Linked DNA regions of Canis lupus familiaris. The protein of the gene in region 1 purifies or fractionates together with the protein of each later gene. This does not show direct contact. Links are inferred from orthologs where the notes say so. Each region holds a gene or a part of one and is shown on either strand. Other genes may lie near its edges.

Evidence for each region. Proteins that work in one complex are often made in the same cells at the same time.
Region 2: the proteins of RELB (region 1) and NFKBIE purify together in Homo sapiens (affinity purification with mass spectrometry; 3 studies listed by BioGRID and IntAct, counting the BioPlex papers as one, with this or other methods). This does not show direct contact. The link is inferred for Canis lupus familiaris from reciprocal best matches to the Homo sapiens genes RELB and NFKBIE.

What each region holds. Positions count from the first base shown.
Region 1 is NC_049222.1:111,171,197-111,178,317, reverse strand, and holds the start of RELB (transcription factor RelB), read left to right. Parts: upstream 1-2,627; 5' UTR 2,628-2,766; coding exon 2,767-2,821; intron 2,822-3,676; coding exon 3,677-3,718; intron 3,719-7,121.
Region 2 is NC_049233.1:12,862,795-12,869,904, forward strand, and holds the start of NFKBIE (NF-kappa-B inhibitor epsilon), read right to left. Parts: upstream 4,354-7,110; 5' UTR 4,223-4,353; coding exon 3,855-4,222; exon of another isoform or gene 3,566-3,854; intron 1,378-3,565; coding exon 1,275-1,377; intron 354-1,274; coding exon 131-353; intron 1-130. UniProt on the Homo sapiens protein: Sequesters NF-kappa-B transcription factor complexes in the cytoplasm, thereby inhibiting their activity. Sequestered complexes include NFKB1-RELA (p50-p65) and NFKB1-REL (p50-c-Rel) complexes.

The DNA of each region.
Region 1 (7,121 bases):
ACTGGTTTGTGCTCCAGGAATGTTTGCTGAGCATATGTTTGTGCGCTCCTGACTTTCACAGACCCAGACACATCAGAAGTGGAGACCTTGATGGGGCTTGCATTAACACACTGGGAGGGAAACTGACATGCAATAAATCCACAAATTTTTCCTGAGCCCCTCCCCTGCACATTGCCCTAAGCTGGGGGGCTTCTGTTTATTTTTATTTTTTTGTTTTGGTTTATTATTTTTTGTGTATTTTTTTATTGGAGTTCTATTTGCCAACATATAGTATAACACAGCAGAGACCAAGAAAGCCCCAGGCCTGCCCTCCAGGGGCTCGGAGCCAAGCAGAAGCCCTGAGTGCTGAGGATTTCTTACCTATCCTAGCTATTCACCTAATACAGTTGTGAGGCCCAACGTTTGCAAGGGACAAGAGGACATCAGGTGGGCTCCTGGTCGTGTTGCAGGAGCCACAATTCGATGTTCCTTATCATGAGCCAAACTCATGTCTCAGGGTTGTTTGTAGTTTGCTTCATCTATTAAATATATGTAACTCAATGTCCCCTATCACCTTACAGGCCAGCTTTTTCCCATCCTGTCCAATTCTTCTCTAGTGGTCACCCCAGCCTTCTTGTTCCCTGAACATGCCATATGTGTTCCTACCCCGGGGCCTTTGCACTTGCTGTTCCCTGTGCCTTGCACACTTCCCTGGATAGCCACATAGATCTTTCATCATTTCAACTCTGCTCCGTTTCATCTCAGGCCTTCCCTGAACATCCTCACCCAAACAGTGCCCTCCAAACCCAATCCATATATCCTGCTTTATTCTGTAATGCCACCATCACCACCAGACATAAATATTTGTGTCTCTTTTTCCACCTGTCTCCTCTGCCTTGGATTTCAGTTCCATGTGATGGCAGGGGCTTTTGTTGGGTTCCCTGCTTTTGGAACAGGGCCCAGCACATGCAAGAGCTATATGCAAATGTCAACTATTTTTAGTATCTTAATCCTCACAACTATCATAAGACCCATTTTACAGATGAGGAAACCGAGGCTCAGAGAGATGAAGTCAGTTGCCTGAGGTCAGACGGCTGGTAAGTAGGAGACCTACGATTTGAACCCAGACAGCCTGATTCTGGACCCTCCCATCATAACTTCTCTTGCAATACTCTTGTTGAATGCAGACTAGAGCCTGCAGGCCAAATCCTGCTTTTTCTAGTATTTGTGTGATTTTTACATGTTTAAGTGGTTGAAAAAAAGAATCTCAAGAGAAAGATTTCACTTCACATGAAAATTATACAAAATCCAGATTTCAATGTCCACAAAATAATGTTTTATTGGAACACGGCCATGCTCTGTTTCCATGCTGCCTTTGGCCGCTTTTTGTGGAAAAAGTTTGCTTGATATTTCACTCTACGGCAGTAGCTCTCCAGCTTAAGCTTGAGCTATCCGCATCACCTGAACGGCCGAGGGCCACACTTTGAGACTGCTGCTGCACATGATTCTGCTTCCTACAAGCAGGCACCAGGCCTGATATGGTGAGTGCTGTGACCTGATGCCCAGTGCGGACCCTGGCACACAGCAGGTGCTCAATGAGTGTATGTTGAATGAATCAATACATCCGTGTGGGTCATGGAGAAAAGAGGTGGAATTTTTACAGCAGCAGACACAGGATGCCAAACCTTGGCTCTGTGGTCTGAGAGTGCTGGGCATCCAAGTTAGGACCTGATGGTCAATTAGTCATTCTCAGGGATAGTGAAGGCCTAGGAATGTGACCTCACCAGAGGGCTGCCCTGCTTTGCACCTCAATCTCCTCCTCTCTGCAATAATCCTAATTTGACACAGGTGCAAACTGGGAGGCATCTGTGAGGTGCCCTGGTGAGAGCCCTTTGCTCAGGGGCCCTGCCTACCGCTCAGCATGTATACTGGGGGCTCCATCGTTAACGCTGGCACACTGAGTTATGGAACCCTCGAGCTGAAAGTCTTCCGGGCTATTAGGAAATTACGTGGGGCAGTGGGGCAGGAATAAAACATCCATTAACTCAAACATTGGACATCTACCGTGCTCCAAGGGCTGTTCCAGGCTCTAGGGTTAGAGCAAGGAACAAAACAGACAAATCCTAAAACTGGTATTCTAGCCATAAACTTTTTAAGTATCTTCAATCCCAATTTACAGTTAAAGAAACTGAAGCATAGGGAGAGACTAGTTTTCCTAAAGATCATTAGTACCAATGGCAGCGGAGCCCTGCCAACCTCCTGATCCGCAGCTTCCCTTACAGCCAGAGAACAGCAGGTTCAGCTACCGCTGGTGGACCTGGGGGGGCGGGCCTCAATTTCCAGACTTGCTCCACGGGTAGGACATGAGTGGCCCTAAGCAAGCCTCAGTTGTCTCCGCCAGAGCAATGGGCAGCGGCGCGGGTCCAGCCCCTCGCGTGCGCCCGGCCTCCTCTTCCCGGCCGGCCCCACCCCCGCAACCACGTGACGCGTGGGGGTTTTCCCGTTCCCCTAGCGTGACGTCATGATGGGGTGCGGGCCAATGGGCGCGCAGGCCGGCGGCGCCGGGGAATTCCGCCGCCCCGCCCCCGCCCGCCGCCCGCCCGGCCCGGCCCGGCGCCCCCCGCAGCCCCGGGCGCCGCGCTTCCAGCCCGGCCTGCGGCCCCAGCCCCTGCGCCGCTCGTCCGACCGGCGATCGTCCTCGGGACCGTGCCTCCTGGCCGCCCGGCCTGCCGGCGTGTGTTTTGATCTGCGCCGGCCTCCGGGCCGTCCGTCCCCACTGGTCGGGCCATGCCGAGCCGCCGCGTCGCCAGACCGTCCGCTGCGCCGGAGCTGGGGGCCTTGGGTAAGCGGGACTCGGGTTCAGGAGAGGAGTCTGGGGAGGAACTGGAGATGCGGGGGCTCGGGGGGTCCCGGAGTAGTCTGCGGGTTCCTACAGGAGCCTAGGGGTTTGGGGGGGCGAGGCTGAGGGTCCCAGGGAAACTGTATTAGAGGGAAGGAAGGAGGCAGAGGATAGTGACGGGGTCCAGCCCAAGGTAAGAGGGAGGCGTCCCACTACAGAGTGAGAAGGGGGCGGGGCCTGACCCTGAGGCAAAGGGGGAGGCGGGGCCCGACTCCGAGAGGGAGGGGCGGGGCCTGGCTCCGAGGGGGCGGAGTGGGAGCCGCTCCTGCGGAGGTGTGGGCGTGGCCAGACTCGGAGTCGGAGCTGAGGGTCCTGGCTCACCGGGGGGGCGGGGCCTGACTGAGAGCGAGATGGGGGCGGAGCCTAACTCCAAGAAGGAAGCGAGGGGCGACTCCGAGTAAGCGGGAGGGGCCTGACTCTGGCAGGGAAAAGGGGGAGGGCTTGTTCCGAAAAAAGAAGGGCGGGGCCTGACTCTGAGAAGAAAGAGGGGCTGGGGCTTGCTTCAGGAGCCAGGTGGCAGGGTCTGGGGGAGAAGGAGACGGCCTGACGCCGAAAAAGTGAAGGGGTAGGGTCGACCCTGAGAGAAAGGACGGGCGCGGGCTTTCCTAAGTGAAGCTGGGAAGGGCTCCTCCAGACCCGACCCGGGGTGTGACGCAGGGTGGGGAGAATGAGTTGGGGAAGGGAAGCAAGGCCAGACCCTGCGGGCGTTCGGGGTGAGGGGGCCCGACCCGAAGGCGCGGGGTGCGGCCCTCCCGCGGCCTCTCCGGCCCCTCCTGAGACATGCCTCCCTCCCCGCAGGGTCCACGGACCTCTCCTCGCTCGCCGTTTCCAGGACCACGGGTGAGCAGCCCTCCACAGTTCCGGCCCACCCGCGCGCTAGGGTGGGGGGAGGGTCCTGTGGAGGCGGCTTTGGGCACGCCCCTGTGTGGGGTGTCGCCCAGGTCCGCCTCAGCTGTCCTCTAACCGCCTGTGTTGGTCCCCGCCGGTTGAGACGGGGGCCCAGGGGTCCCTACCTCCCGGGGGGTTAGGAGCTGGACAGGTAACACTAACCACGTAGCACCCTCTAAGAGGAGTCCTCTTGGGAGCTTGGCCACGGTAGTGCAGAGGGTAATAATGACATGCCGGTGCCACCACCCCCTCACTGTGTGAATGCCTGCACATCACTTCCTCTCTCGGGGCCTCAGTATTCCTCATCTGTACGATGGACATAGTATCAGTGTCTCCCTTTGCCAGAGGATTGAGAGGATTCAATACAGGCAGGCTTTCAAAGCAGTGTCTGGCACACAGTAAAGTCACAGTAAGTGTTAACTGTTGATAGCTGGTTTTATTATTATCATCACTATTATCAGACAGCCTGTAACAGTGGTTCTTAGACCTTTGTGTGCATCGGAGTCACCCAGGGAGCTTGTTAAAGTAGATTATTGAGGCCTCCCTTTAGAGTTTCTGATTCAGTAGGTCTAGGATCGGCCCAGAGAGTTCTCATTTTTAGCAAGTTCCCAAAAGATGCTGAGAACCACTAGTCTGGAAGGTCCCTCAGGCACTGCCGTCCAAAATTCAGTGCTGCCCAAGAAATTGCAGAATCATGGCTAAATGACAACATCCTCTCTCTCTTCTAAATCTGCTGGGATTTGGAGGGCAGGGACTGAGTCCTGTTACTGTGAAGACTCGGTAGCCCCGGTGGACTGGGGCTGGGCCTCTGTCTAGAGGTAGAGGCTGTGGTGGAGGAGGCTCTGTGGGTTCTCTAACAGGTCTGAGAGTTTGGACAATGGTGAAAGGTGGGGCATGGCGTTGGAGAGAGGTACTGCCCAAGCACTAGTTCTGGGCAGGAGCAAGGCTGAGGTTTTTTTCTGGCCCAAGATCTTTGGTTTCAGTTGAGAGTAATTTGTGATGTCATCTCTTCAATAAATATTTATTGAGTGCCCGTTCTGTACCTCGTCCTGTGCTGGGCAGTGCTGGGGACTCAGCCGTGACTGAGGCAGCCCTGACTGTGCCCTCACGGGTTCCCTACCTAGATGTGGAGGCAGGCACATATGCAGTAAATTAAATGTGGATTATAAAATGTGATAAAGGCTCTGTAGAAGTCTTGGGGTCATTGATACCTAACAACAGGGCAAGGATGGGAGAACTAATGCTGTGATAGGGCATTCATTCTGATGGACTCATTCCCTCTCCCTCATTCTGATGGGCTAGACATGTGTATAGATGTGTCCCCTATTCTGAGGTTCTCACAGTTTACAGGAGGAGACAGGTAAGAGTCACTTAACATAAAGTCTTGTCAAATTCTAATCAGTGCTGTGAAAATGATAAAACAAAGGCACGTAACCACAAGCGACTGGAGCTATCTTAGGGACCAGGAGGCTATTTTCGATAAAGTGGTCAGGGAAGACCTATCTAGTAGGTGACATTTGAGCAAGGACCTGAAGGAGGAGGAGGAAGCCATGCAAAGAACTGGAGGAAGAGCATTTCAGCAGAGAGCAGACTGTGCTAAGGCCCTGAGGCAGGAGAGACAGCTAGTTTTCTGTTCCCATGCAGCCCATCCTGGCTGTCTGTGGATGGTGGGAGTTTGGGGTGGGATGGAGTGTTATTTGTGTTGAGCCCTAAATAAGGAGAAGTTCCCAATGTTTGTTGGCTGAAAGAGGGTTTTTTTTCAAAGATTTATTTATTTATTTGAGAGTCAGAGAGTGCACAGAGGGAAGGGCAGAGGGAGAGGGAGAGGGAGAGAGAGAATCCTCTAGCAGACTCCCCACTGAGCATGGAGCAGATGTGGGCTCTATCCCAGGACCTCAAAATCATGATCTGAGCCAAAATCAAGAGTTGGCGACTCAACCAACTGAGCCACCCAGGTGCCCCCAAAAGGGGATTTTTTTTTTTAATTTTTATTTTTTTTTTTTTTATGATAGTCACAGAGAGAGAGAGAGGCGCAGAGACACAGGCAGAGGGAGAAGCAGGCTCCATGCACCGGGAGCCCGATGTGGGATTCGATCCCGGGTCTCCAGGATCGCGCCCTGGGCCAAAGGCAGGCGCCAAACCGCTGCGCCACCCAGGGATCCCCTAAAAGGGGATTTTTATATAATAATGCTATAGCTAAGCTTTATGGAAGGGCTAGGGTGGTCAGGCACAGTAGTAAGCAATTTATCTGTGTAATTCTGAACCTTCATGTTCACTCCTGAGTAAAGAGCTCCGACCTCATTTTATAGGGAAGGACTCAGAGAGGTTGAGAGACTTGCCCAAGGCTACACAGTCAGTGAGTGACAGGGAGGATTCTAACCAACATCTGTGTGATGCTACACTCCATTCTCTAAAAGCAGGTCTGCCAACCTCTTCCTTTTATAGACAGGGGAACTGATGTCTAGAGAGGGAAAGTGGGTTGGTTACCCAAGTCCATAAAATAAGATCACCCAACACTTTATCCAAGAGCAGCAGCTGCATTTATGCAATGCCTACTATTGTGGCAGTTCTAGGTGCTTCCCACATATTCACTCATTTAATTTTCACAGCAGCCCAATGAGGCATGATTCCTGTGTCCATTCTACAGATGGAGAAACCAAGGCACAAAGGGGTTAAGTGATGGGCTCAGGTATCTCCAGTTAGCAAGTTGCAGAGCCAGGACTTGAACCAAGGCAGTCCAAAGCTCGGGCCACTGCTGCCTGGGCCTTGGTTTTGGTTCCCCCATGCAGCCTGGGAGCTCCTCAAGGGTCCAAAGTCGAAGTCATCTCTGGGTCCCCCCCACGTCATTATCCAGCACAGATGCCTAAGTTGAAGTGCCTGGAGGTTGGCCCTGCCAGGGATCCATAGCCTGTCCCTTTCTTCTCTCCCAGCTTCAGTGTCCCCAGCTGCCAAGTGGGGGTATCTTCTCTACCCTGATGACTTCACAGATCACACGAGATAAGGGGAGCAGGAAAACTGCTTTCTGAGGAGCAAAGGTCTGGCAGCCAGGAGCCACTCCCTGAGAGTAGAGGAGGAGGACGGGTCTGGCAGTGGGGCAGGCTGGTGTTGATCAGACAGTGGCCAGCGACTGGCACAGGCAAGCCTGGGAGGGGCCTCTGGCCCTGGCCTGCCCTACCTTGCTGTGTGACCCCAGGCTTGCTTACTCACTCTGGTCTTCCCCTCGTCCTGTCTATGGAATGACGGGAGGTTTGTTTCGATTCCTCCATGACCCCTTTTAGGACTGACCTTTCCTGAGGAGGTGATGAGGAGGCTTCCCCAGCATTACTGTTACGAGCACCCTCAGGGGGCAAATCTG
Region 2 (7,110 bases), on another chromosome or scaffold:
TGTACTGAGTACCCATGTGCTTAGAACAGGAGGTACACTGATGGACACGCTGTGAGCCTCCTTTTCCTGAGAGTGGAGTCCATCTCCTGCCGCTTCTCATCCCACGAACCCTGAGGCAGGCTGCCCATACCTTGCCAGTTTTGCAGCTGGAGGTCCAGGGAGTGAGGTGGTCCTCGGCCTGGCTCTGGCCGCCCCTCCAGCAGGCAGCGGGCACAGGCCAGGTGCTGGCGCTGACAGGCCACATGCAGTGCTGTGTCACCATGTCGATCCTGTAGCACCCGACTGGCCCCCTTTAGCACTAGGGCCTGAACCGCACCAGGCTGGTCCAGATGTACAGCTAGATGGAGTGCTGTCTGTAGGCACAAAGGATCACAGGGCTATTGTAGCACACTCCTACATCTGGGGACATGTTAGGGCAGACCCAGGAATTACCAGCTGCTGGTACCTTCCCTGAGGGCAGCTTATAAAGGCTATGGCCCTGGGCTTCCACAGAAATGCTACCAAACCCTTCCCTCTGTCACCACCCACCGAGCTCTTGGGACCCCTAGTTCTGGAGGCAGGCTGAGCCAAGTGGGTCCCTGCTCTCTTGCAGATCTCCTTAGCCCCTGGAGTAAGGACAGATGGGGGCGGGGCCTACCCTCTCACCATCTGGGAAGATCTCTGTTATCCCCAGGGGCCAGGTGACAAGGAAGGGTTGGAGGGAGGAAAGACAGAGGTACCAGGCAGCCTCCACCTGGCATACTTTTTTTTTTTTTTTTAATTTTTATTTATTTATGATAGTCACACAGAGAGAGAGAGAGAGAAGCAGAGACACAGGCAGAGGGAGAAGCAGGCTCCATGTACTGGGAGCCCGACGTGGGATTCGATCCCGGGTCTCCAGGATTGCACCCCGGGCCAAAGGCAGGTGCTAAACCGCTGTGCCACCCAGGGATCCCGCATACTCCTTTTTTAAGGCTCCAGGAAGATGCCACCTCCTGTATTAGGCCTTCCCTGGCTGTTCCCCACAGACACCAGATCCCACAGCAGCTGGTATGTGTCTCTATCACCACTTTTGTCACCATGCTATGTAATTAGTTTGACATGAGTCCCCTAGCCCAGGCTCAAGCACCTTGTGGGCAGAGACTGTGTCTTACTCATGTCTGCATCATTGGCTTCTATCCCCATGTCTGGCATATGGTTTCCTGAGTGTGAAGCCTATGTATGCTTGTGTGGCTGCTGGGAACGGCAGGTACAGGTATCTGGGCATAGCCCACTCTCTCCATCTACCCACCCACCTGGTAAAGGTTGTTCTGAATGTCCAGGACCTCCTGGGGCAGCAGAGCCAGGCAACAGAGCAGCACAGCTGGGGCCTCGTGAATCACTGCCAGGTGGACCAGCCTGGGAGGGGGACACAGCAAGAACAGGGGTTAGTGTTAGGGCTCAGGCCCTAGATAGTGAGCTAGGCTTCTGGGATTAGAAGGAAGAACACATCAATGTCTCAGAAGCCAGCCGTGGGCTAGGTGTAGGAAGTGAGAGTCTGAGCCAGGAAGTGAGGGTTGGTGAGGGAAGCCAGGATCCGGGGGCTGGGAGCTCCAAGTTCCCATCTCTGGCGTTCAGGAGGGCCTTAGCCCAGTGGCAGCGTGGGCCAGGTGCTGATGGGACTCGGTCCTTCCTGTTCGGCCCGCCCACACCCCTCTCTCCCTCTGGCCCCAGGGCCCTGCCAGGCTGGCTGCAGCTCAAAGCCAAACTGAAAGCTGCCGGGGTAGCACAGGGGTGGTTTCCGGGGCTGAGCTCCCCACCTCCGCCAACCTCGACAAGGAGGACTGAGAGGGGAGGCGTGGGATCACCCCGACTCCCAGCAACTCAATGTTACACATTCCAGGGGAGAGAAAAGAGAAGCTCTTGGAAGTGGAGCAAGGAGACAGCGAGGCATCCTGTCCTGCTGCCCATCCCAGAGGAATCAGAAAGGCCACTCTTCACACAGAAGGGACTGGGTGGGGCCTGACCAGAGGCCCTCTGCTCTGCATATGCTTCCAAGGGGAGGTCTGTGGTGTGCAGAAAATGTGTGTCTGTTGGGGGCCAAAGAGCCTTCACCTCTTGCTAGGGTGGGAGGGGGCAGCTGGGAGGGGAAGTTCCAGTCCTGGGGTTTCCCCACATCAGGTGGGGAAAATGAAAGCCAGAGCTAGAAGGTGGAGGCCAGGACAGCTGCCTTGGGGCATTTACTGCCCTGAAGGGGTAGTTTGGGTAAAGGCCTCTCTGGGCCCTGGAGGGGGCTGCTCAGGCCAGAGGAGGGTAAGGCTTGGTGGCAGGAGAGGCCCAGGAGAGAGTGGCGGAGGGAGGGAGGGCGGAGGAACCGCTCTGGAAATCCCCTCGGCCAGGGCCTGTTCTGTAGGTCACATTCCTGCAGCCACCTCCCTCTCTCCCTGTCTCCCCTCCTCCCACTTCCTCTTTCCACTTCCAGAAGGCCAGACACCTCTGAGGGAAGAGAGTGCCCCCTCCTCTCTTGGGACCTCCTGGGAAGTCCTGCCACCTCTTCTCCACCTCCCCCTGCCTCCTCTAAACACACCTGTCTCTAACTAGGTAAAGGCTGCAGCTGAGAGGCTGACAAAGGACAGCAGGGTCAGAAGTCTCCAATCCCTAGGCCAAAGGTCAGTCATAGGTATCCACATGGAGCGCCCCCCCCCCCCGCCCCCCCGCCCCATCTTGATTCTGTGCCTGAGGGCTGGTGATCTGGGCAGGTTACAAAAAGGCCTGGGGTCATTCCTGTCCCACCCACTGGGTCCACTGGCTATCTTTGTCAAAGGCTACCCAGGATTAGGACCTTCCCATCTCCAAAAAGCAGGTCAGGACAGATAACTCCAGCCTCCTCTACTCTCCCCACCCCTATTCGTTCCAGGATCCCTGATCTGGGACCCCAGCCCGCCCCACTCTGTTTCTCACCCCCAAATCCCAGCCACCTCCTCACCTGACACTGTTTCTTCTCCCTAAGGGGCAAATCTTCAAATGGCCAGTCCCTTCTACACAAAGTGCTTCTCTTACTTAAATTGCCTGTCCCCGCCCCCACCCCCACAGCCGCCAGGCCCAATCCCCACCAAACTTCATCTGGGCCCAAGAGAGGGAGGGTAAAATAAGGGAATCAGACAGGACAGTGAGGGGGACTTGGGGGATTCAGGAGGTGGAGGGTGTCGGTAAAGCTGACTCTAGCCCTCACTTCCCCTTTCAGAGCAGAGAAGGAAGTAAGCTGGGCAGCCAGCCGCCTGTCTGTCTGTCTGCTGGGGCAAGAGTGCCCCAGCCTGGCTCACCCCCTCTTCCTCACAGCTAGCCTCAGCTCTGCACCCTGGCAGCACCCTCATCCTAAGCTTCCTGACCGCCCCCCCCCCCCCCCACTCCTGCACTGGCAACCTGTAACTGGCACCTTTTGTTTCTTGACACAGGGTATTCTGAGGTCAGGGGCTGGGAATCCCAGATATTGAGCAAACAAAGATGCCTTCTCCCCCAGCAAGAAAAAAAAAACAAAAAAAACCTGGACTGGTCAGGGGACTTTTCCCTTCCAAGGGGCGGGTTACTGGGAGGTTTCCAAGCTGCTGGCTGGGGTTCCAGGTGTCTGGTAAGGGCCCTGTCAGCTGTGCCCAGCTCCCAAAGGGAGGGCAGAGAGATGATGCCAGGGCCTCCGGTCCGGGGCTGGCCAGAGCTCAAGAGCGGGCTGGGAGTGAAGCCTGGAGTTTGGAGGAGAGAGTGGGGACTGCCCCTTCCAGCGACCGTGTCGTGAGGGATCCGCACAGAGTGGGCCCCCGGCCTGCTGAGGATCCCGCAGGCCAGGGCTGAGCACTGATCGGAAGGGGTCCCCGCACAGCCTCGACAGACCCCATACTCACGTGTCTCCATCCTCGGAGATGTAGGTGAGCGCTTCCAGCTGCTGAGGGCTCAGCGCCCCCGCGGCCGGGAGCGGCGAGCGCGGGGCCGGGTCCTCGGCCTCCGGGCCCCCCAGCAAGGGCAGGGGCTCGGTGAGCGACGAGGAGCCGTAGGTGGAGTCGGTCCGCTCCGCGTCCGTGTCCTCCTTCTCGCGTGGCCCCTCGGCTGTTCCCGGAGGATGGGTCCAGGGCTGGGGGCCGCCGCCATCCGAGGGCCTGGAGGCTGGGGCCGGGGTGGGCTCGGGCAGGGAGCGCAGAGAGCGCAGGGACTCGATGCCCGAATCATACTGGCTCTCGTCTGTCTCGTCCGGCCCCTTCCGCGCCTCCGACATGCCAGGGGTGCTGGCCCGCGGGGGCTGGGGCCGAGCGGGATCCGGCTCCGGGCTCCGGGCTCCGGGCTCCGCCGCGCCGCCTTTCCGGGTTGCAGGTCCGCCTCGCAGAGCTGGCGCCCGGCCCGGGGTGGCCTCCTGCCCGGACTGCGGGGGCCCGAGGGGTCGGCGGGCGGCGCGGGCGAGGCTCGCAGCGCCGGCGGCTTCCACGGCAGCGGCTACTCCGGCCGCCGCACTGCCCAGTCGGACCCGCTCCCTCGCCCCGCCCCGGCCCCGCCCCGGCCCCGCCCCCGGCAGGCGCTTCCGGGCCGAGGCCCCGCCCCCCGGAATCCCCCTTGCCCCGCCCCCCGCGTTGGCTTCCACTCCGGGGTTACCCGGTCCTGAGTCACTCGTGCGTTAATTTACCCGTTCATCCATCCATCCATTTGTCCGACCACCCGCCATCCATCTATTCATTCATATTTCCCCCTTCTTCCTTCTTCAAGTCCATGCATTTTCTTTCTTTCCTTCCCTTCTTCATTTCTTCATTCATTTTTTCCCATTCATTCACTCATTCATTCGTTTTTAAAGGAATATTTATTAATCGTCTGCACAGGCTGCATACCACGCAGGGAGAGCATGTAGGTGATGGGATGGCAAAGCTCTGCTTCCTATCGCCTACCCATTTTTCTCAATTTCTGTGGTTTTCTCATCTATCCGTGCCCAGGAGTTTGGGTAGGGAAAGGGGATACCTATTACCCGTAAACGGGCAGTTCTCCCTTTGGGTCCTGGATAGAGGGTCTCCTGGGTCAACTTCCTAAATCACATAGAACTGGGTGTGAGGATTTTTTTTTAAGATTTATTTATTCATTCATGAAAGAGAGAGAGAGAGAGAGGCAGAGACATAGGCAGAGAGAGAAGCAGGCTCCTCGTAGGGAGACTGATGCGGGACTCCATCTCAGATCCCAGGATCACGACCTGAGCCCAAGACAGGTGCCCGACCGTTGGGCCACCCAGGCGTCCCTTGGTTTTGTTTTTTGAAAGTGAGTTTTCTCAGGCAAGCTCTTGTCTTAAAAAAAAAAAAAAAAAAAAAGCAGAGTGGTCATGTTTTTATTATCTAAAAAAAGCAGGGTGGTCATTCTTCACGAGGATGAAACACTGGTTCCAGGCGGTTACAACATCTGGTTACCCCTAGTGATCAGGGAAGTTTAGTTCCTCATGGTGGGGCCAGGATGGGGAGGCCCCAGACATCCTGGGTCATGCTCTGCTGAGGTCCTCACCACAGCCACAGCCACAATGCCAGCACATCTTTCCTCTTTCCCTGTCCCTCCTTTCCTTGGGCCTAAAGGGCCTACGGAGGTTATAGGCAAGCTCCTCCCCCATGGTGAGCTCCAACCCCATGCCCCATGACTCATCCCCTACTCCAAGTGCCATCAACCCAGGGGCAGCTATGACCTTAGAAGAATCATCCCCAATCATCTCTGGAAAGGAAGAAAACTGGAGTGAGTGTAGACAGCTACTAACCAGCTTTCCTACTACCTTCTTCTATGCAACCTCATTTATTCATCCATCTATTCATTCATTTGACAAACATGTATGGGGAGTTTCCTATATGCCTGACATTGGTCTTTCTGCTGGAAGCAAAACTGAGTATCATAGTAACAGTAGTAACCAACAACCCCTAACCCTACCCACACTTAAAAATGTCCCCTGGTCCCAGCCTTCAAAAATCTCCCTGTCAATTACAATACAGAGTGCTTGTGCTAAGACAGGAGTGAGAACAGGGTGGTGTGGGGCACACCTTGGGGTCGACTACCCAGTGGGGTGAGGGAAAGGGAAGAGGACTGGGGGGAGAAGAGAGGTACGTAGTGTGTGTGCTTGGTGGGGTGAATGAAGAGAGAAGAGTGGTGGGTACACAGGAGGAGATGCCCCACTGCTCTCCAGCCCCGTGGAGAATCAGAGTGGAGAGGATATGTTGAGCATGAGGCGGTGAAAAACCATGAGGGGAAAGCCCAAGGAAATTGAGGCATCTCCTTCCCTTGAGGTCAGTGTGATTTCAGACATTTGCAACTTCCTCCCCTGACATGTTCCTCTCTCATCCTCAAAGGCTAGAGCAAAAATACAGTCAGAAACTCCAGACCAGACTACTTGGGCTTTCATCTGGCACTATCACATCCCCATCTTAAAGTCTGGAAGCTGAAATCCAGAGAGGTGAGTTGAATTGCCCAAGATCAAATAGAAAGAGCCAAGTTCTCCTGTCCCTAATCCAAAACTTTGAAAAACACGTTCACTGAAACTTCATTTCTTTTATGAAGGCCTAAGGAGTTGGGGCATCTGAAACCACTGCAAAGACACAAGAACTTGGACAGATGCAGACAGAGGCTGAATTTGGGGAAAAAGCTATCCCAATTCAGTCCTACCTCTGGCTCTGAACTCTAACAGGTGTGTAGCAGCCCCTTTTCTGGCCACATGAGGTCAGCATTGAGTCACTCACCGCTTCCAGCACCTTGCCTGCAGTCCTACTGGAAGCCTTCCTGGGGACACTTCAGAATGAGGAGAGGGACCATTTGGAAAGATGACACGGGGACTCTGACTCAGGCCTCACCGTGGCCAGGGCCTTGACTTTGCTCCTTAGCCCCTCCAGTCCTCCTCTCTCCGCTGTTATCTTTTGGTTCCATTTGTAGTACCCCCACTCCCAGATTCCACCCACCCCAGTTAGGCTCATCTTCAGGAAACAGGCCCGGTTGCCATGGTGACCAGCTGGTCAGCTGGCTCCTTCCTCCCCCCTCCCTTCACCCCTCTTTCCTCTGAGTTTCCAAGGAAGGGTTCTGTGTGAATGGAGAAGTGTGTGGGTGGGTGGGTGGCGGGGGGGAGTTTGTCAGGGGTCTTTTATCTCTTGGAAGCTCTGGGGC